Danio rerio: one gene and its partner. The protein of the gene in region 2 purifies or fractionates together with the protein of the main gene of each other region. This does not show direct contact. Links are inferred from orthologs where the notes say so. Each region holds a gene or a part of one and is shown on either strand. Other genes may lie near its edges.

The links.
Region 1: the proteins of atp11c (region 2) and tmem30aa purify together in Homo sapiens (co-immunoprecipitation; 4 studies listed by BioGRID and IntAct, with this or other methods). This does not show direct contact. The link is inferred for Danio rerio from reciprocal best matches to the Homo sapiens genes ATP11C and TMEM30A.

Annotation. Positions count from the first base shown.
Region 1 is NC_133192.1:56,058,806-56,069,307, forward strand, and holds part of tmem30aa (transmembrane protein 30Aa), read right to left. Parts: intron 8,369-10,502; coding exon 8,249-8,368; intron 6,589-8,248; coding exon 6,481-6,588; intron 6,021-6,480; coding exon 5,933-6,020; exon of another isoform or gene 5,630-5,932; intron 5,438-5,629; exon of another isoform or gene 3,800-5,437; coding exon 3,653-3,799; intron 3,410-3,652; coding exon 3,197-3,409; intron 159-3,196; coding exon 1-158. UniProt on the Homo sapiens protein: Accessory component of a P4-ATPase flippase complex which catalyzes the hydrolysis of ATP coupled to the transport of aminophospholipids from the outer to the inner leaflet of various membranes and ensures the maintenance of asymmetric distribution of phospholipids.
Region 2 is NC_133189.1:37,168,482-37,179,632, forward strand, and holds the start of atp11c (phospholipid-transporting ATPase IG), read right to left. Parts: upstream 7,038-11,151; 5' UTR 6,532-7,037; coding exon 6,505-6,531; intron 1-6,504. UniProt on the Homo sapiens protein: Catalytic component of a P4-ATPase flippase complex which catalyzes the hydrolysis of ATP coupled to the transport of aminophospholipids, phosphatidylserines (PS) and phosphatidylethanolamines (PE), from the outer to the inner leaflet of the plasma membrane.

The DNA of each region.
Region 1 (10,502 bases), on a different chromosome or scaffold from region 2:
GTATTTGTGGTGGATGATCAGCAGGACGACGCCCAGAAAGAAGCACACTGAGCCCACTGTGATGTAGGCGATCCCCAGGAACGGGTTCTTGCCCCCCATCCAGGAGATGGTGCTGAGGATCACGCGCTTGCGGCCGTCGAAGCTGCGCACGGGGTAATCTGAGGTCACTCCGTTAAAGAAACGCACAGTTTAGTAAACGTTCGCCTCTGGTTGAAAGACACCTGAAAGTCATGATGAAGTTACAACTGAATGCTTTATATGGGTGTTTTCTCTTTCTCTTGCGAGTTTGAAATGTGAAAGTAAAACCAACGTCCCTTTAAGGCATGGGTGTCAAACTCAGTTCCTGGAGGGCTACAGCCCCAGGTGAGGTGTGATTTTGTGTACCTTGCATTCCTTACACTAAATGTCCCCACAAGTATAGTAATACCAGTAAATGTTGATCATGTGTGAACTGTCTGGTCCCCATAATAAAAAAATGGCTCATAAATCAGACAGAATTAAGTGTTTTAAAAATGTAAACATGCTTATTGTTAGGGCAGGGGTGTCAAACTCAATTCCTGGAGGGCTACAGCCCCAGGTGAGGTGTGATTTTGTGTACTTTGCATTCCTTACACTAAATGTCCCCACAAGTATAGTAATACCAGTAAATGTTGATCATGTGTGAACTGTCTGGTCCCCATAATAAAAAAATGGCTCATAAATCAGACAGAATTAAGTGTTTTAAAAATGTAAACATGCTTATTGTTAGGGCAGGGGTGTCAAACTCAATTCCTGGAGGGCCGCAGCCCTGCATAGTTCAGTTCCAACTCTGCCTCAACACACTTACCTGTAGGTTTCAAACAAGCCTGAAGGATTTAATTAGCTTAATCAGGTGTGTTTAATTAGGGTTGGACCTGCGGCCCTTCAGAAGCTGAATTTGGCATCTGTGCTTTGGGGAAAGTAATTTCTCTCGGCGGCCATCTTTGAATTGCCTCTCGGGCAGTACGTTTGCGCATTCTTGAATAGGGAAACATCAAACTCTCCAAAATGGCGATTAAAGGTGCAGTATGTAAGTTTGACAACCCAGTGGTTGAACTAGGTATTGCTCGCCTGGTTCAAAACATGTGCAAGTGCAGGTTGCCAGATTGATAACACCAGCTTGAATGAGCCTGACTATTGAGCCTAAAGGCTGATTGAAGTTGTGTTAAAATAAAAACAACAGCATGTGATAGAAGAAATATTTTCCATATTAAAAGGAGTTTGAAGATGCCCTGAAGATGAAACCAGGGTGGACAACTGGTTTCAGAGAAACAAAATAAAGCTGCTCAAATGGCTAAGCCAATCACCTGACTAGAAAATACAAATTAAAGATCACATTTGATAGACAAGACTATCAAGATTTTTACACTCTTGAAGTCTGTGGGAAAAAACACACTCAAAGAGAAGCATTGGGTTAAACTAGGCTGTCCAGTTTCAATGTTTGGTCCATTACTTCTACTGTATCTGTTCAGCTGAGGGAACAAAACCAACCCTGTGAAGTCAGACACAGCGATATTCCAAGATGGTGGCGCCCTAGGTCTAGAAGCTATAGTAAAACATCCCCTTTTCTTGAAAAAGGTTACATTAGTCGAGTTTGTTTTATACATTTTCATTAAAGTAAAAAATTAATTTACAAAATAACGTAACCTTAACTGACTGCTTCCGTTTCCCTTTAAGCTGCCATCACCATTTTTATATAAAGTTTTAAATACGTTTCAGTGCGTCATTCCATTGTTATTACACACATTTTTTAAATTTTCTTTTGATTTATGTTTGTAATGTTTGCGTTTTTACGAAAATCTGGTTTAATTCCATGTCAACATCTCCTTTAGAAATATTATTCCCTTGAAAAAAACATGACATCTTCAATACTTATTTCCCCCACTGTAATCATTATTATTGCCATCCTTTGGCCCGTTTCCACTGAGTGGTACGGTTCGGTTCGGTTTGGTACACTTTTATGGCCGTTTCCACTGTCAAAAGGCGTACAGAATCACTTTTTCAGGACCCTTTCGAAAGGGTCCCAAACACAAGAAAGGATACCAAAAGGCTGAGCTAGACGCGCAGCTGAACGCTATTGGTTTACAGAAGAGATACGTCATTCACTTAAAACAAGCCAGAATGTAAACAAAGGACCCGCCATGTTTGAAATACACAGCGAGAGATTACAGCGGAATTATATATTCATATATCACCGTCATGATGAACAGCCACACAGTCATGGAGTAGAGCGGAATCTACCCTGTGCCTCGCAGTTTTTTTACGAGCCAGTCTGACGCGCGAGCGGTTTCGCTTTCTTCCTTGCGCTCGCCGCGCGTCTATATCTGAAATAACAAACTTCTTGAGCTGATTATAATAGTGTGCGCTTGATTATTGACGTGCTTTGGAAACCCGATCCCGTGAGAAGCTGACAAACGCGAGAATGACACATTCAGAAAGAAAAGGACAAACGCGAGAGTGGAGCGCGGAAAAAAAACGGAGCACATTATTTCTTCAGCAAACGTGAACAAACGATCTTGTTTTAATTATTATCATCACCTTTTGGACTAAAATGAACGGGGAATGATGGAATAACTCTCTAACAGAAGCTACATGACATGTGCTGCTGAAGATTACAGACACAGATGAGAGGTTTTCACTGACTGTAGGCTATACTTTGTGTTGTTTTGAACCCAATTAAGAACGAAATGTCTGATGTGTGTAGTTTTTCTGTAGTTGGTAACATCGGAGACTGTCAGGGGCTGTATGTGTTCATATATGTTCATTTATGTATTTATTTTATATAATTACAGACGTTACAGTAGGCTATTTGGCACTGTCATTGATCTGCAGTTATAATCAAATCCTGTTCATAGAAAAGTTAGTAATAAACATTTATACACAAGTATTTATGTGTGTAAAGCATCTGTTTTGTGAGAAGTGCTTTTAATATGATATGTGAACGTGAACCTGTGCAGCTTTACTGTAGACATTTCCTCGAGCGAGAATGATGCGACTGAAACTTTCTGTCTTACACTACACCCACCAAAAGGGTACCCTTTATAGTGGAAACGCAAGCCTGATAAAGGTGACCCGTACCGACCCGAACCGTACCGTACTGTACCAGTCAGTGTAAACAAGGCATTAATAGCTCATTCTTGGTGTGAACAAGGCTTTGTGTGGGTTTGGTGAAGGATACTGTAGGCGACCTCCAGGCTGTAGTTTCCCGGCGGTAGTGTTGGGGTCATGGTGTCCTTCTTCTTCTGAATGATGCGGTACAGTTTCCTGAACGTGGGAAGAGCAGCGGTTCTCATCCACACGATCAAGTCCTCGTTGACGAAACCGTTGTTCTCGGGATCAGCCGGGTCCAGCTCGTAGACAGCCTTACGCCAGTTTACAGGTTTGCTGGTGTCTGTGAGGACAAACATTACAGACTCAGGGTAAAAAAAGAGAGATGTGTTGATGTACAGTGCATCCGGAAAGTATTCATATAAAAAAAATAAATAGAAAACCTACTAAAATTTTAAATAAATCATAAAAATAAAACATCTTTACTTGAAATCTGAAAAAAATCTAATCAAAAAGAAATGTGAAACATGAGCTGAAAGGCCCTGCTAAACACATCCGAATGATCGAGTAGACTTCTGAGTTGTACCTTGGAAAACAACGGAGAGGTTGTTGTTGCTTCCTCCTGGGTTTCTGAACTTGACGTGTTTGTCAGTCCACCACGCAATGCCTGTCTTCACCAGATGAATGCCGATTTTGCTTCCGTTTGGATGGATATAAAACAGCTCCAGTGTATCTACAAACATAAAGGAATCACACAGAGCAAACAAACAGACTTAAGGCCTGAGTAAGCAGTGAATATTTATTTTGAGGCTCATAGAAAGCCGCTAGAGCATGTTAGCATTAGCTTTGTTTATAGGGTCTACTGATCCGAGCTTCTGACAGACATTAAATGGTTTATTTATATACTTTTACAATGAGCAGCATGACCGACCTTCAAATTCTCAATAAACTTGTGCTAATTCTTCATTTAAACAGCATGCAAAAGTACACATAAGTGCAAAAGTAACTGCCGCCGGTTGAAGGTGCAATTGTTAGCCTTCACTGTAAGAAATGTTGGAAATGAACAAAACAATCGGCCTAATACAAAATATTATGAGACTAAAATATGGGAAAAATGTCAGATGGTTCTTTAATTCTGTAAATTTTCCAAACGAATAAACAGCACTCGGTAATATTTCAGCATGCTTTCACTTTCGTATTCGACATGACACCATGTTATTGGTAGGAATGACATCCCACCCTACTCATAATTCTCCCTTCATGTAGCCATATATATGGCTTTTACATATGCATAATACACTGTGATATAGCCTGGTTCGTTGGCTTATTGAGTCGTATTGCTTTCTCACTACAATCAATCTGACCCAGGGTTTGTTTCAATTGAGCCGAGTCCACCTCATTAAGGTGACCCTTGATTAATAAAGGGACTAAGCCGAAAGGAAAATGAATGAATTAATTAATAATTAATAAAAATTAAGGTCTCTTTTTAATAGTGGCCTTAACTAATATGTACTTACACAGGATTTAATAGTTTGTTACAATGTACTTATTGTGTAAATGCATGTATTTACTGTGTACATGTTTGATCAAATACATGTATGTAATTACATCTGTAATTAACTTTTGTAATTACATTTGTTAATACACTGTTGACAATCCTTTACACCTTAACCCACCCTTAAACCTACCCACACCACCAAACCTGCCCATAACCCAACCTCTATCCCAACTGAAAAGCACCACAAGTGTTCTCAAAATACATTATAAACCCAGTAAGTACATTGTATTTAGTTTTTTGATGCAAGTACATAATAGTTAAGTACACTTAATATAAAGTGGGATGATAATTAATAAAAATAAAAAAAAACTTGTGTTAAGGAGTTACAGATTTTCGTAATTACAAAGAAAAAAAATTTGTTTTACAATGTCATTACTTCGAAAACTGCCACGTCCCAAAAAAGGCATCAGTACCAGCGAGTAAAAGAAAAAAAGTATCTTAAAAAATGGTTTTGGTGCATATCTAATTCACACAAAGAATAAACAACTATTAAAATAACAATATTGGTTTAGCACAGAGGAAATATTATTTAAATAGTCTAAATGAACAATTAAACTATTGAAAGAAAATTATTATCAAGCATTTAAAACAGCAACATGCCTTTGTAATATTCAAAGCCATATTAGGCACTAAGTATCATTAAGGTTATTACAGTGGCGTAGCGCAAAATGGGGAGGCCCCCCTGCAGGGATCACTGACGGGGCCCCCAGTTGGAGAGGTGTTGGTTGGGGGGCAACGCGGGGAAGTAATCACAAATTGAGGAGCAGGGAAGGAAGGCGGGGTGGAGCGACAACGCGGGGAAGCCTTCACAAACTGAGGAGCGATCACAAACTGAGAAGCGATCACAAACTAAAGAGCGGGAAAGGGGGGGGGGCGACAACACAGGGAAGCCTTCACAAACTGAGGAGCGATCACAAACCGAAAACGGCGAGAGCGTCAAAGTAGCCAGAAGTGATTCATTTTCAATGAGAAACGGCGGTGAAAAACATCGCGGCGCGTCTTCACCTGTGTGAGTGTCGAGGAGAGTTGAAATCAAGTCAACTTTATGGTATGAGCTATGACCGAGCTTGACTCGGTTCGGCGGCAATCATAATGAAGTAGTCCACCGGTTGAGAGGAGTTCAGAGAACACAGACCTGTGAACATTGGTTCCGACCACAGTTGTTTTCAAGAGTTTGATTATTGAGGTTGCCGGATTTTCGCGACAACGTGGGGCCCCCTAATCACGCGGGGCCCCCCCACGGAGCGTGCCCTGCGGGCCAGTCCGCTACTCCTCTGGGTTATTAGTATTATGAGCCTTCAGTCTTACCGTTGAAGAGACTGTTAGCAATGGCGCCGCAAGGAGCAATGGGCTTCCTGTCACTTGTTCGATACGGTTCACACTCTTTACTCGGATTCTGTAAAACAAAAGATTTAAACACTTGAAGACAACGTACAAACTCGATTCAACAATTCAGTAAGTATGCTTGCTAGGGCCATGTTTACACTAATTACACATATTTGCAATATGCAAACGACAATTAAACAAAAGTAAACTCTGAGCGGAAAAGCATGTCACGTCAGTCGCGTCACCAAATATATATATATAATATATATATAATAAGGCTTTCATTGACAATCATGATAGCCTTTTGTAATGCTCTTTCTTTGTATACACTACCAGTATACTCTTTAGTTTTGTTCCCAACAACTTACTGGCTGTTGTTACCACTTCTCTTTTGGGCCTCAAGCATTTCCATACCATCAGATCTCACAAAATGCACCAATATTAAACTATAAGTTTACACAAAACAAAATTAAATATAATATACTAAAGTCAAAGTCAAACATTTAGTCAGCATATGTCGAAACACTCACCAGTAAAGAGCTTTTGTCTCCATTCAGCTGACTGTCATCTCTGGATTTGACATAACGTCTGTGGTTTTGATAGAAGTTGGAGAGTCCGTAATACATGAAAACATTACTCTACAAAAAAAAAAGAAGTTAGAGGTTAAAATAACATCCAGTCACCAGCCATAAAATCTTTTATACTGAGGCTACTTCAGTGTTGTTTATAGATCATCTGAACTGATCTCTGTTATAACAAGAGCGGAAAACAATTCTATTTTTAACATATTAAAAGGTGCGATCAATAAAACGTCCTCTAAATATACTAATGCATAATACATGAGAGCTAATGGCACTTTAGGTGATTTGTTTGACCATCCAACGGTTAGCAGACAAAGCAAATATACAACATAATGGAGCTAGAGTTAAATATATCTCTAAATTAGTTCACGCTTGCTATGCTTTTCATTGATACCTTCATATGCATTTATAGGTTTTTGTTAATGAAATAACTGATGTAGCAGTGACAATGATGTTGATTTCTAAATGTGCTTTAATATAAGTAAATCTTTCAAACTCAGAAAATGTGACTTCGTATTATCCTGTGTTACTATAATCATAAACAAACAGAGAGGTATATTATTGTTAGTATTGTGAAGTATTCATCTGTTAAGGCTTTTGCTGCTGACAAAATGAACATATTTTTCAACAAACTGCAAGCACAAAAGTAATCTAAATGTAATCCAAATGTAGTCAGATTACATTTCCATAAATGTGTTATCTGTTTTTTTTTATGTAATTTGTAGACAACAACTGAATATAGTTCATAATTTAGCTACTCAGTTTTCTTTATAAAAGGTCACTCACATTAAAACAATTTCTGTGGTAAAATACATAGTGTTTTTGAATCATACTATAGTAAAGTAGTTGAATTCATTTGTTGTAGTAAGTTGCTGGTAATACAACAACTAATAACAGAAACAAATGAATATTGTAGTACAATTTTTACAACTTCATAGGGTGTAATAAACAACAATAGACCAGTTTACTGCAGTAAAATCTATAGTACACTGGTTTAAAAGTTGTAACCGTTTTATTAAATGGAGTTAATAACTAATAAAATTCTATTGTAATCCTGCAGTTATTCTTTTGCTAATTAATTTGTTTAAAACATTTGTTCGATTTATAGATAATGTATAGATAATTAAGCAATGCATTAAGTATCTTTTTGATTAAACCTGCTAAAGTGATCTTTTTTTAACCATATATATATATATATATATATATATATATATATATATATATATATATATATATATATATATATATATATATATATATATATATATGTATATATATATATAAATTAAGTAAGATAAACTTATTTCATACCAAAAAAACATGATTATTTAACTTAACGCATTGGCAGATTATTTAGCTTGTTTTAAGGAAAAACTAACTTTATTTTGACTTATTTCTTTAAAAACAAAAAAAAATAATTTTTTACTTGTCTAGAAAATGCTTTCTAGATTATTATATTTTATTTAAATTTTAGATCTTTGATTTTTAAAAAGAAAAACATTTTCTGAAGTGTAACACAGTGTCCTAACACGCAATAAAATATGTCTCTTTCAAGTTAAAAGGAGTTTCTATTTTAACCATCTGCGACTGCGAAATTTCTAATTTAGAAACAGTTTCTATTTCCGCAACATCGCAGCAAAAAAAACTTCAGATCTAGAAAATAAAACACAGAAACACACAAATATGATGTAGGTCTAGCAGTGTAAAGTGTGTTTACCTCGAAAGGCTGGTCTAGTGTGAAGGGAACAGTGCAAGTGCACACACTAGTGCTGTTCCAGCTGTAGTTCTGTGCACAGTTGTAACACGGACTGGACATGTCGACACCAGTGTAGTCGATCTACAACACAAACAACAACAGCACAAGTTACACAATAACATCAAACTACTATTCACGATGCTACTATTTTATGTTGTAGGGCTGTGCAATATGACATATATATATATATATATATATATATATATATATATATATAATTCATTCATTCATTTTCTTGTCGGCTTAGTCCCTTTATTAATCCAGGGTTGCCACAGCAGAATGAACCGAAAACTTATCCAGCAAGTTTTTACGCAGCGAATGCCCTTCCAGCCGCAACCCATCCCTGGGAAACATCCACACACACACTCATACACTACAGACAATTTAGCCTACCAAATTCACCTGTAACACATGTCTTTGGACTGTGGGGGAAAATGGAGCACCCGGAAGAAACCCACGCGAAGGCAGGGAGAACATGCAAACTCCACACAGAAACGCCAACTGTCGAACCAGCGACCCAGCGACTCTTGCTGTGAGGCGACAGCACTACCTACTGCGCCACTGTCTTGCCTATATATATATATATATATATATATATATATATATATATATATATATATATATATATATATATATATATATATATATAATTTTCTGTAAATTCCTAAGTATTTACTCAAAAATCTACTCATTAATATGTGATCAGATTAAAACTTCAGTGTATTTGTTTCTAATTATAATTAAATATTAATGAAATTTAGAAAAAAAATTCATAAACTAATGATTTATAGGCTGAGCATAAAATATTGCTAAATAAAATGTAAATATGTTTCTGTCTTTATCCTCATAATGGCGTATAATATTACGCTTATATAAAATTATGAAAAGTATTAAACAATAAATTTTGTAACAATACAATATTAAGGGTATAGTTCACCCAAAAATGCTAATTCTTGTCATCATTTACTCACCCTATATACGTTTAAAACTTTGAGTTTCTTTCTTCTGTTGAGCACAAATCAAAAGAAAACCTGTAACCATTGACATACACATTATCACTTTCCCTACTATGGAAGACAATGGTTACATTGAGGTAACGCTGGTTTTATAATCACACATTCATACTTTCTCCCTAACAATATAATTTCAAAAAGAAATATTTGCTTATTCTATATAGTAAAATCACAGTAGCAGCTAGTGACTATCAAACTGCAACATTGTTCAATAAAGGTAAAGTTGGTTTTATATTCACACATTCATTCATTGACAGCTCCATACATTGTTTACCATGGTACTTTGAATATCCGGACTGAAATCACATGACTTCAAAACAACATTAGCACTATTTAATCAACTGTGAACAATGCTGTACTTTGATGGTTGCTGGCTGCTAATATGATTTTGCTATTTACAATTTCCAATTAATACTTTTCTGAGACTTTATTATTAATGAGAATGTGTGAATATAAAACCAACTTTACTTCTATCATTGTTCAGTCAAACAAATAGTGCTAATGTTATTTGAAACTCATACTTACGTGTGATTTTAAATCAAATATAAAAAAATTAAGGTAAAGTTGGTTGTATATTCACACACTCGTTCAGTGACTTGTGTAATATTCTCTAATTTTTTTTTACCATGGTATTTTGAATATTTGATCTGAAATTGCATGCATGTACGGCATCAAGACAATATTAGCACTATTTATTTGACTGTTAACAATGATGTACTTTTGATAGTCACTGGCTGCTAACATGATTTCACTATTTATTTATTTAGAGCAAAGAATTCTTTCTGAAATTATAATAAGTCCCAATGCGTAAATATAAAACCAAATTTCCCTTAATGTATACAAAATATGATAGTAAACAATATAGGGAGCGAGTCACAAGTTGTCACTGAACGAATGTGCGAATATAAGACCTTACCTTAATAAATAGAGGTAAAGTTGGTTTTATATTCACACATTCGTTCATTTAGCAGTCTATATATTGTTTACTATGTTACTTTAAATATCCGATCTGAATTAGCATGCAAGTGTGACTTGAAAACAACATTAACACTGTTTATTTGACTGTGAACAATGTTGTACTTTGAAAGTCATTTGCTGCTAATATGATTTCCCTATTTAAAATTTGCAATGAATACTTTTCTGAAATGATATTATTAAGGGGAATGTCTGAAAATCCGAAACTTTACTTCTATCCTTAATAA
Region 2 (11,151 bases):
ATGTCATGCAGTATTTTTCACTTAATTATACACCATATATCTAGATTATTATAAATTTTGGTTATCCATACATTATATATATATATATATAAAGTTATTTTTTATGTGTTTTCACCTTTATTAGACAGGACAGTAGAGAGTATCAACAGGAAAGGATGGGGAGCAGGGAGAGGGGAAGGATCGGCACAGGACGGTGAGCCGGAACCGAACTCGGGTCACCGCGAGTGCATGTGTCGACGCACTAACCACTGCACCACTGGCGCCGACCATACATACATTTCAAATAAAACATATAAAGAAACATTAAATTAGGACATGTTTATACATTCACCGTCCACTTTATTAGGTACACCTGCCCAACTGCTTGTTAAAGCAAATTTCTAACAAACCAATCACATGGCAGCAACATTCTGATGGTAGGGTCAGAATTTGGCGTCAACAACATGAAAGCATGGATCCATCCTGCCTTGTATCAACAGTTCAGGCTGGTGGTGGTGGTGTAATGGGGTGGGGGATATTTTCTTGGCACACTTTGGGCCTATTAGAACCAAAATCTCTGAGGAATAGTTCCAGTACCTTGTTGAATCTATGCCACGAAGGAGTAATGCAGTTCTGAAGGCAAAAGAAGGTTTAAGCAGGTACTAGTAAAGTGTACCTAATAAAGTGCATAAGTGTGTATAAAAAGAGCAAAATATTTGTGATTATAATTTGGCCATTATTGTGCTGCCCTAATAAAATGCGGACTCCCTGTGCGAATAAACCAACTCTTGGACTTCTCTGAACAAATTCAAAAGGCACCTGCTGAAACAAGCAGGCTCCGGAAAGCTTTCAGCATAGGACTTCCCTTACATGCGCACACTGAATGATATCAAATTTCCTCCAGACCGCCAGCCAAGACACAACATGATAGAACATCAAAGGCACCAAGATTCTGCATATTCCTGTCAGACTCTGAGAATCGCGACCAATGGAGTTTTCCAGCAACCGGTCTCAATGCTATTCTCCTATCATGACATTCCCTAAGAATGCAGAGTTAGAAGCATATCAAGACAGACGATTCCTGTCTGTTCAACTCAAAAAGACCTTGACTTTCCAGGCAACAGAAGACATTCTGTACAGATAACATATACAAAAAAAGAGGAGGTGGCAATAACAATACTGTCTGCATCAGTGACATCAGGCATGGCAGCCATGCAAACGTTATTTATGAGCCACACAAAAATATACAGAGGCAAACTCCATAGCAAGGCAAGAGAATATGCTGACTGGAGTAATATTACAACACCTATGGGAATATCAGCACATGCCATCATTATATTGGTCTATTATTGCTGGTATCTAAAGTACTTGCACTACCAGCAGCACAATTTAGCCTAATGGCACCAACAGGTTATTGGAGATTTACACCATAAAAAAGAGACAAGGCAGTAAAGCAGTGCAGCATAAAAGGAGGGATATAGAGCCAGTGCCATTTGAGCTATGTCACAGACTAGCAAGAATGCACAAATGTTTCAGTCAATCACTAAATAAAATATTTTAATGGGTTAACTTTTCTGCGATTTTAACAAATGTATGTGCTTTGAACAACAATTAAGATGTTAGCATCTTTTAGCTATAATTGTAGGGCTACTTTTGAGCTTTTAAAATCTATATGGCACAGTGTTCCTTGTGGTGATGTAGCATAGCACCGGGAGTACTTCAATGATACGTCAGTGTCTGATTATTATTCATGAGACCAAGTTTTCTACCCTATGAATTATTTCTGAATTATTTAGCCAAGCTGTAAGACCGTGCAGTAGTTCAGCATTCATGATGGGTTGAGGCACTGTTTATGTTGTCCGTAGACCTCTAAGAGTCTGTTTTGAATTTTTGGGGATTTTGAGAGCTGCAGAGTGGATTATTGAGCATTGTTGATCGACCATTGTGTTCACACAATCAACAGATATGGCTGTTTTTGGGTCTAATAATCATCAGTTTGAAAGCTGAGTCTATCAGCTGATCCGTCAGTGGATTCACACTGCAAATAAACACTGAGCGACATGACTTTCAAATGTTCCAGTGTGCGAGGACTTTTCTGTCCCTACAAAGTAGGTAAGATTCAGATTTTTCGATAAAGTCATTATGAGCCACTGACAGATGATCCATCCTTGCTTGTTTTTTTACTGCTTTACATGCCCGTGTAAGATGCATTTTTCAAAAAAAACAAACAAAAAAAAAACACAAGGTATATTTGAACTGGAAGAGGGGGGTTTCATGACCCTTTAAAAAAAATAAACCTGGACCAAAGTCATGAAACAGAAGAAGAAACATAGGATTCAAAATAGTTGTGTAATGGATCATGGTTGATCTTTGATCTGTACAAATCACAACCCACGGCCCGCGGATTAATATACATTTTTTTAAACTTGTAGGTTAATCCAACATGTATAACAATTGCTGAGAGATCGCCTCCCGCATCATTCAAATTACATGTATGAAAGCATTTTTGGCTTCCCTGTAAAATATAATGATGACGGAAAAAGTTGTGGTGGGACCTAAAGGCTTTCTTAGGTTGTTAATTAAAAGGTGTTTTCTGTCACTCTTTGTTTAGCCTGCATTAATGCATTAAGTGTAAAGCTGCACAATTAAGCATTAAAAGACTGTGATCTCAATTCAAATCTACACAACATGAATAATAAATAATGATGATTTACATAGGTTTATTAATCCTTCTAAGCAGTGCATTCATATCTGCATTTGTGAGAGATTCGGTTTTTACACTTTTATAGTTAGTTACAAAATATTAAATAACACAGAAGTTTTGGGAGAACAGTTTACAGTTCAGATATAAACACTGACGTTTGTGGTAAATATTAAAATCACAGTTTAATAGAACTAGACGCTGGTGAATGTTTAATGTTGTAGGAATTACATTGTGTAACCAATGGGTGGCGACAAACAATCATCGAACTTGTATTACTGAATAGGTTTTCAAAAATGATCCACCTATTGACCTTATTCTAAAATGCGGAAGTGCGCCTGTTTTCGCGATTGTCTTAGAACTTCCGATTCAGTCGCCTATGGGAGAAACGCCTATGGTCTCCTATGGGAGAAATGACTAGGAATAATAAACGGCAGAAAACGATCAAACTACTTGCTCTACAAACAAATGTTTGCATGACTATACAGACCAAGTAGAATAATATAATAAGAAAATATCAAATTGCAACATCAAGCAGCGTAACGAGCTGCTTTACGGTCAAAAAATGAATGGAAGTGAATGAGACTGGAAGTCTCAAGCCAAAAAGATTCAAATGGCAGCGCCCGCTCGTCTGCGAAGAATAAGGTGAATAATGAAACAGGAAGTTTTATTTGTGAATTGTTGAATCATTAATTGAAAATACATATAATATGTTGTACAAGATGTTAGATTTTTATATTTAGCACTATCAGCAACAGTAGCAAAGACCATTTATTGTATTGAATATTTTCCTTTTTTCAGCTGGTTCCATCTTGATTTTAATTAAATTTTTTATTTTTACAACAGTTTCTAATTATGTTGGTTAAAACCAATGTTTTTTGCAGTAATATTTTTGTATAAATGAAAAGCAAATGACATGTCAATTCCCTTTTTTTGCTGATCCAAAAAATGGTCCTATCAGTGACTCAAAAACCATAGTATGATCCGAACCATGAGATTTGTGATTCGTTACACCACTAATTCAAAAGTAACCTGGATTTCTCAGCATGCCTCAGTACCAAATATTAGTAGGGTTGTTAAAATTACAGGTTCAAAGTTTTGTTCGTTAAAACCAAAAATTTAACGTTTTTGCAATAAATTGAAAGCAAATTACATTTATCTCCTCTCCCAAAAATGGTCCGATGCATAACTCAAAAATCGTAATGTAATCTAAACCGTGAGATTTGTGATCTAGTACACCACCACTGTAAATGGATTTGTGCTCAGTGTTAAGACACCTACAGTTACACTTCTGAAGCGTTTTGTGCATTTTGTGTGTATATCTGACCTTAGAGATTGGGGTCATCCTACATACTTCACTAGCTAGAAATCTGAATTAAATGAAATCTGAAGAAAATGATTAGCTCAAAACAAATACAGATGAATGATTCCTAATGAAATATGTACCATGCACTTGGAAAACATAAAAAGAAAAGCCTGAAAATTGAAACTGACTTCCCACAGATTATGTTTCTGGATTTCTGAATGTGAAAAAAGTACAAACTGTCTTTTTAGTATGCCAAGTCTACCTGCAGGAAGCTGCCAAAGGAATATCGGGAAAGCACAGTGGTTAAACCTGTAAGTCTAGCACATTTACATTCAAAAACAATGGAAAAACAAAAGAGCAGAATGCAAAACCTCTTCTGTGTGAACTGCCCCTAAAAACATGCAACCTCAGAGAACTTTTGCTGGATCAAGTGGTTGGTAGCAGCGTTTTTAGTTGCAATCATTATTTATTTCTACAGCTCAGGCTGCCTTCATTGAATGTAAATTGCAAATAACTTCAGGTACATAAACCTTATGACGGAAATTGAAAGGCTTATGTAAATACAATTAGACTAAGCAAGCAAGCGAGGATGCGGTTCATACAGTCACAGACATAGAAATACCAAAAGGAATGGATAAAATATTAGCCCTAACAGAGAAGTTACATTTCATACAATCAAAACTTTACAATACATCAGATCTGATCTAACATAAGCACATATAATAAAGTACGCACCCACATCAGATTTGGTGCAATCATTTAATCACCATTGTGCTGTCGCAAAAAGAGGCATGCTTTTCTTTCTTCCATGGAATCTTTTCTATGCAATTTCATTGCTTCATACAATGAAAGTGAAGGGTGACTGATGGTATCTTCTTTTATCTTGAGGCCATGACAAACCAAACCGACTTCAAAGATCTAACTGCATCACAATTTGACCGCGTTAAGGGCTTGCATGAACTGCATCTTGGCCAAAAAGCTTCACCTGAATACACTAGAGAAAGAAGTACAACTTATTGCAAAATAGCAGGCGTGTTCTGCATGCAAAAATTCAACTGTAAGTCCCCCTATGACAACTCAACATGCTGAATCGGGCAAACTGCCTCCGACATGAGCCCAACCAGAGCCAACATGAAAACCAGAGTAATATGTGCCTGCTCTGACCCACCTCAACCACAAAAATTAAAGTTTAGAAGTGCAATTGCTGTATAATTTCACTTACAGATTGCTTCACAAATTCACACTGATGGTTGTCGGGCAGTTAGTCAATATAGTCAGTTGCAATCGAGATTTTCCTCTAATGTCCAAGGCTGCTCCTTTCACAGAAAATTGTACATTTCAGTAACATAGACCTAACGACTAGAATTAAAGTGGTAAAGCATGACCAAATATTAAACTTATGCAAATATAACAACCCAAACAATGATGTGGTTTGGTCACCCTGACCCTAAATTAACGAATGAGACAAGTAACTCGCAATCAAACATAATAAAACCAACACTTTAACAATGGAGAGTGCACCCAAATGAAAATGGTGCAGTCATTTGCTCACTGGCATGTTCCGACAGACGTGTATGAGATTCTTTCTTCCGTGCATTTCTTTTTATTCATGCAATGAATGTGAAGAATAACTCATGCTATCTCCATTTATGTTAGTCTGGAATCGCATGAGGGTGAGTAAATATTTTGTTTTATTTCTAGGTGAAGCATTAGTTCAAGCACACGAGGAGCGTGTTGAATTCATTTGCAATGGTGAATTACAACAATAATTGAAGCAAAAGCAGGGAGAAATTTGATTACAAGTATTCCCACAACCACAGACCAAAACGGCTGAGACTAAAAAAAGGCTTCATCTTAAAGCCAGCATTCAACTTCAAGAGCTCTGCCCTGATGCTCTGCAATTATGTGGTAAAAGCAGAATTACTGCATCACGTGCCCAAATAAAGTTTCCATCTAAAAGGTTGCGACAGCAATGAAGGGCATTAGGAAATTAATTATTGGATTCAAGTACAACACGTAAAGGGCTTAGCTTGCAAGAGCGAGCAGTATTATTTGATTAACACTATCAGGAATGCAGCTTAACTTAAAAAAAATTGGCAGAACACATCAGAAGTAGCTGCCTGAAACCATTATCTTCACAACAGAAGAGGCGTCGTCAGCGTCTAAACCCCAGTCCTAACGTGTCCAGGCTCAATCAAAAGTGACTGTCAACTTCTTAAAAAATATTTTCCAGCTGCTAAACCCTATAAACTCGCGCTTTGAATGGCTAATATGCGTGACACGACTCACTTAGCAACAGCTGGTCCATGTTACCAGGAAGTTGCCTGCATACCTCAAGTAATTACAGCTTTGGTGGTGTTAAAAACTCTTGTGGTCAGCCAGAGGAGCTCTTTCTGCAGGGTGGCTCCCTGGTTTTTAAATAAGCCGTCCAACTTGTGCACAAACTGAGATGTTGCCTCGATAGACCTGCTCGATTTAAGTGAGATGTAAGTGAGCGGCAGCAGAGTGCCATACATACCAATCGGTTGAGCCTCCTCCGTAACATCTTCAGTTGTTCCGTCTTCTTTGGTATCTGAAGACGCTGTCGAGCAGCTGTTCCTTTTGTTGCGGCCAAACTACAGGCTAGTTGAGCTCGAGGATGAGTAACGTTAAGTTTGCATGTATGACGGCAAAATGCGCCTTGTTTAGCTATCTACTTTCTAACCTGTTTCCCCGAGCTATATGCAATGCGGCGGTGAAGCTACATCGTTTCCATATTAATTGAATGCTGTCTTCTCTAACCATTCGCATTCTCGTTTTTGGATACTTTGCGCGGCGCTAGTCGCGGGAGCTCCCCGCGCGCGGGGTCGATTCACTCAGCGGCATCCTGTACTCTGTGTGCCCTGTTGCTGAGCCTCCTAATAATTCACCGCATTCGCCTCCCCGCCGTTAACGCACCGCACGCGACTGGAGATTGACGAGGGGGAGAAAAGTGATGGCGATCTCTTGAAGGTGCGGATTTCCACTCGTGTGCCGCCGCCCCCTCCTCTCGTTCAGATTCCTGTCAAACACATTTTACTCTCCTAACGCAAGAGCCGCTACGACGACAAGCCCCGCCCCTCCGTGGCTGACGCAAAGTTTTCTGGGAAATGTATTTTTGGCGGAAAAGATACTGTTTCTTTTTACAGTTCTTCCAAAAAGAAACGTGTTAATTTGGAAATATATGTTCAGGTGGTGATTGGCTTGATATGCTCCTCTTTTGCTTATTCACTTCCTGCAGCAGGGTAACGTTATTGTTTAGTTGTCAATATGTTAAAGCATTGGAAGCACAATTTTTTTATAAAGTCAAAACAGTTGTGAGATTTATTTTGTAATAGGTTAAAAGTGACTAATATCAGGAGGTATTTTTATAATTTGTACATTTAGATGCAATGGACTCCATCCAAAAAATTGTTAAAAGTATCTTTGGAAAAGACCCAAGTAGCACAATCTATATTATTCATGGAAATAAAATATTAATGGCTAAATGTTTCACATTGTATTATTCATTTAATTTAATATTTATTTATTATATTTGTTTATTTGTCATAGCTAATATATTTTTGACATTCAATACAAAAAAATATTTTTATATTGTGCTCAGCATAATTAAGTACACCCCCATTTTGACAATGAATATTTAAACAAAGCAGATTTATTAAACATTTATAAAAATAATATTTTAGTTACCAAACATATTTAAAAATTAAAATATAACACAATGAAATTAAAGCAAAACATTGTGGAAAAAATACAAAAAATACAACTTACAAAATTTAATCAAAATTGTTTTTAAAAAATCTTCTCCTGATTTGTCCTCTTTTTAAAATTTGCATTTAATATTTTTGTATAATAAATAAGTTTGGGTGTACTAGTTTTTGGGCTTTTATTGTAAGTTATTTTGATAGATAAGCTCCAGATTTGGCTTCAGTACCGACTAATCTAATGTTTATGCACAAATATAATATTGTATAGCTTCCCGATAAAAATGTACATTTATTTATATATATATATATATATATATATATATATATATATATATATATATATATATATATATATATATATATATATATATATATATAATTTTTATTATTTATTTTATTATCAAATAGATTTATTTATTCATAATTACACATCTTACTCTACATTAACAGACCTTCCAACATCACCAAACCCCTATTTCTTCAGATGCCCCTGCTGAAAAGAAAACAATCTAAAATCTCATAGAATGCATAATGGTTTTAATGGTTATAATGGTAATTGTATTGGTTTTAATTGAAATTGTAATGGTCCCCATGGGTGGTATTAAAACCACTAAACAAACCCTAATGTGTGCCGAAACACATTAGAAGTCATTAAAATGCTCTGGTAAAAAGTTTTACTGTTTTAATGGTAGTTTTTGTGGAAATTTGAACTTATGGTTTTTTTTTTCATCTTTTCATTAGGGCCCTTATAGTGTATAGCTATAACAATTAAATTCATGTTCTTTATATAATGCTGTTACGATGTAGATAGTGTCAAAGCAGCTTAGCAGTTCTAGTAAATCAGTCCAGTTTTCAGAGTTGAAGTTCAGTTTAGTTCAGTGTGGTTTAATTTTCACTGCTGAAAGTCCAAACACTGCAAAGCAAATCCATCAACGCGCAGTTCCACAAGTCACAAATCAAGCAAGCTAGTGGTGAAGATAACAAGAAATTAAAAATCAGAAAGAAAATTCTTATATGTAGCCTATTCTTTTTTTTTTTACTAATTTCACCTGCATTGAATCTTTATTTTTTTTATATTTTGGGTCGAGTGAATCACAGTGTAAGTGGCCTAAATCATAACAGTCGTATTGCAAAAAACATTGCGTGTGTTAAACTGCATGGTCTCGGTGCATTTTATTAAAATAACTAATGAATGTCCTCTCTGACCCTTTATATTTTTTGAAACAGCCCCACCATGTGGATTACATTTGGATTGTCAGTTGTAACCACCAGTGTTTGGTTGACGTTAAACGCATTTCTTAAAAAAAAATAAAGTAAAAATATCTGAGTTACTTTTTTAAAAACGTAATGCTAGTTACTTTTTAGTTTAATTAATTACCTTTTAAATATAAATTGCTGAATTAAAATGAATGTAGTCATGTTGAATCATGAAATCAATGAGAAAATGCAATCATTATTTTGAATGCATTGAAGAAAAAGGGGGATTGTCTTAATGGACAGAGATTTTACATAACTAATAATACAAAAAGTAGAAACGTTGCAGAAGTTTATAGAAGATTATCCTCATTTTTTTCTTTATGTGTTTCTAAAGTTAAATAGGTTATGCAGTGCATTGTTAATTCGGAGCTCCATAAAAACCTGCAAGTTCTGAAAGAGATCAAGCCTCAGCAAAGGTAATAAAAAGTTAAGCAAAAGTAACCCAAATGCAACAGATCGCATTACTTACCATCAAAAGTAACTAAAGAGCACAATAAGTTACTTTTTAGTGGAGTAACTAAATATTGTAATGCATTACTTTCAAATGTAACTTTTGTAGTAAATTACTACAATTATGGACTAGTTACAAATCAGTCAACTCAATTCACAGATGCTCATAGTTCTCTTTCCAGATATGAGTCCTAGGGCAAACACAGACGATTTTAGAAGGGGATAAAATATATTTGAGCTAAGAAAGTAATGTTATTTCTGAGATTGTAATTTGTATCTGATTTGTACCCATCAAAGTTAAATGATGTCACTTGTGTGTCTGTGTAGATATTTTTATTGCATAATGGTGGTGATTTTTATTTCCATCAATTTTTTTGTTTACTTTGAATTATGTGAACAAAGAATAAACATGCCATAGACGATCGACATATAGCAGTGTGCATAGATATACATGTAACAACCAATTTACAGGTTGGTAAATAATAATATTAATAATAATGCCAACAACAACAGTGACAACAAAAAGGAAAAACTGAAGAATAAATGACGAAGACTGAAAAAATAATATGTACATATACACAGACACACAGATACAGACATAAAACAAGTTTCCAAAATAAAAAAGCAATAAACCAAATCTGTATTAAAGGTTAAGTAAGGGTAAAATTAAACCAGTTAAAATGAATTTAAAAAAAAAGAATAGTAAGAGAAACAGATTAAGATAATCAAAACTGTGCTGAAAGAGATCTACAACAATGAAAAAAGGTTATTAAAAGCCCAAACAGGGAACCTTAAACAACTACAATGACGAGAAAGAAAAGATATTAAAATAATAACGAGAGAAAAAATTTATAAATCAATAAATAATTAAAAAATAAATAAAATAAATATGTGGCCTTGGAAACAAAAGTTTTGCTTTTTGATTTCTCCTTGATTTAAATTAGTAAACTTTTAAGCTATTCCAAAGTTTGTGCCCAAAGTCTGATGGTGTGCTCTCTTGCACCATGCAAGCAGTGGACATTTCCAGATACACAATATCAATAAAAGTTAAAATCCAATGGTGTTGATTAAGAGAATGTGGAGGCTTTCATCTTGTCACAACTATTTTCTTGGCTGCTGTCCGGCCAGCTAAAAACACACTTCTGAATTTTGTTAAGCTCGATATCAGAAAAATAATTTCAAATGAAAATAGAGGGGGCGAGCGGGACTGAAATGTTTATTAAAGACAAATTTTGCTTAACCATATTCCAAAAATAACCAAACACTGTCCCAAATCACATGAAACTACGTGCCAATGTTGGTGATAATGTTATAGATATTAGTTGTAAGGTGAGCAAATTCATGGCTACAAGACTCTGGGTCAGAACCAACAACAAAATGAATTGTAAAAGTGAAATGTTACCATCAACCCCAGCCAAAATGTAACTGTTTTTATTTTCAGTATATGACTAGGTGTTCAGTGTCTGAGCTGTCTTGTGGTCTATCTATTTATGTGTGATCATTGCTAGCAGCACTCAAAATAAATTGTGGCTTTGAATGAATGTCACAAACATTCAAGCATTTACAAAGACATTTAATGAGTCTCAGTGTCAGCCTATACGTAAAAACTTGTTTTATTGTGATCTTAAACAGGGCGATCATCCAAAAAAACTTTTATATACATATATATCTTAATAATATCAGCTAACAATGCTTAATGCTAACAAATCTCAATCTCAAAAATTAGTAATTAT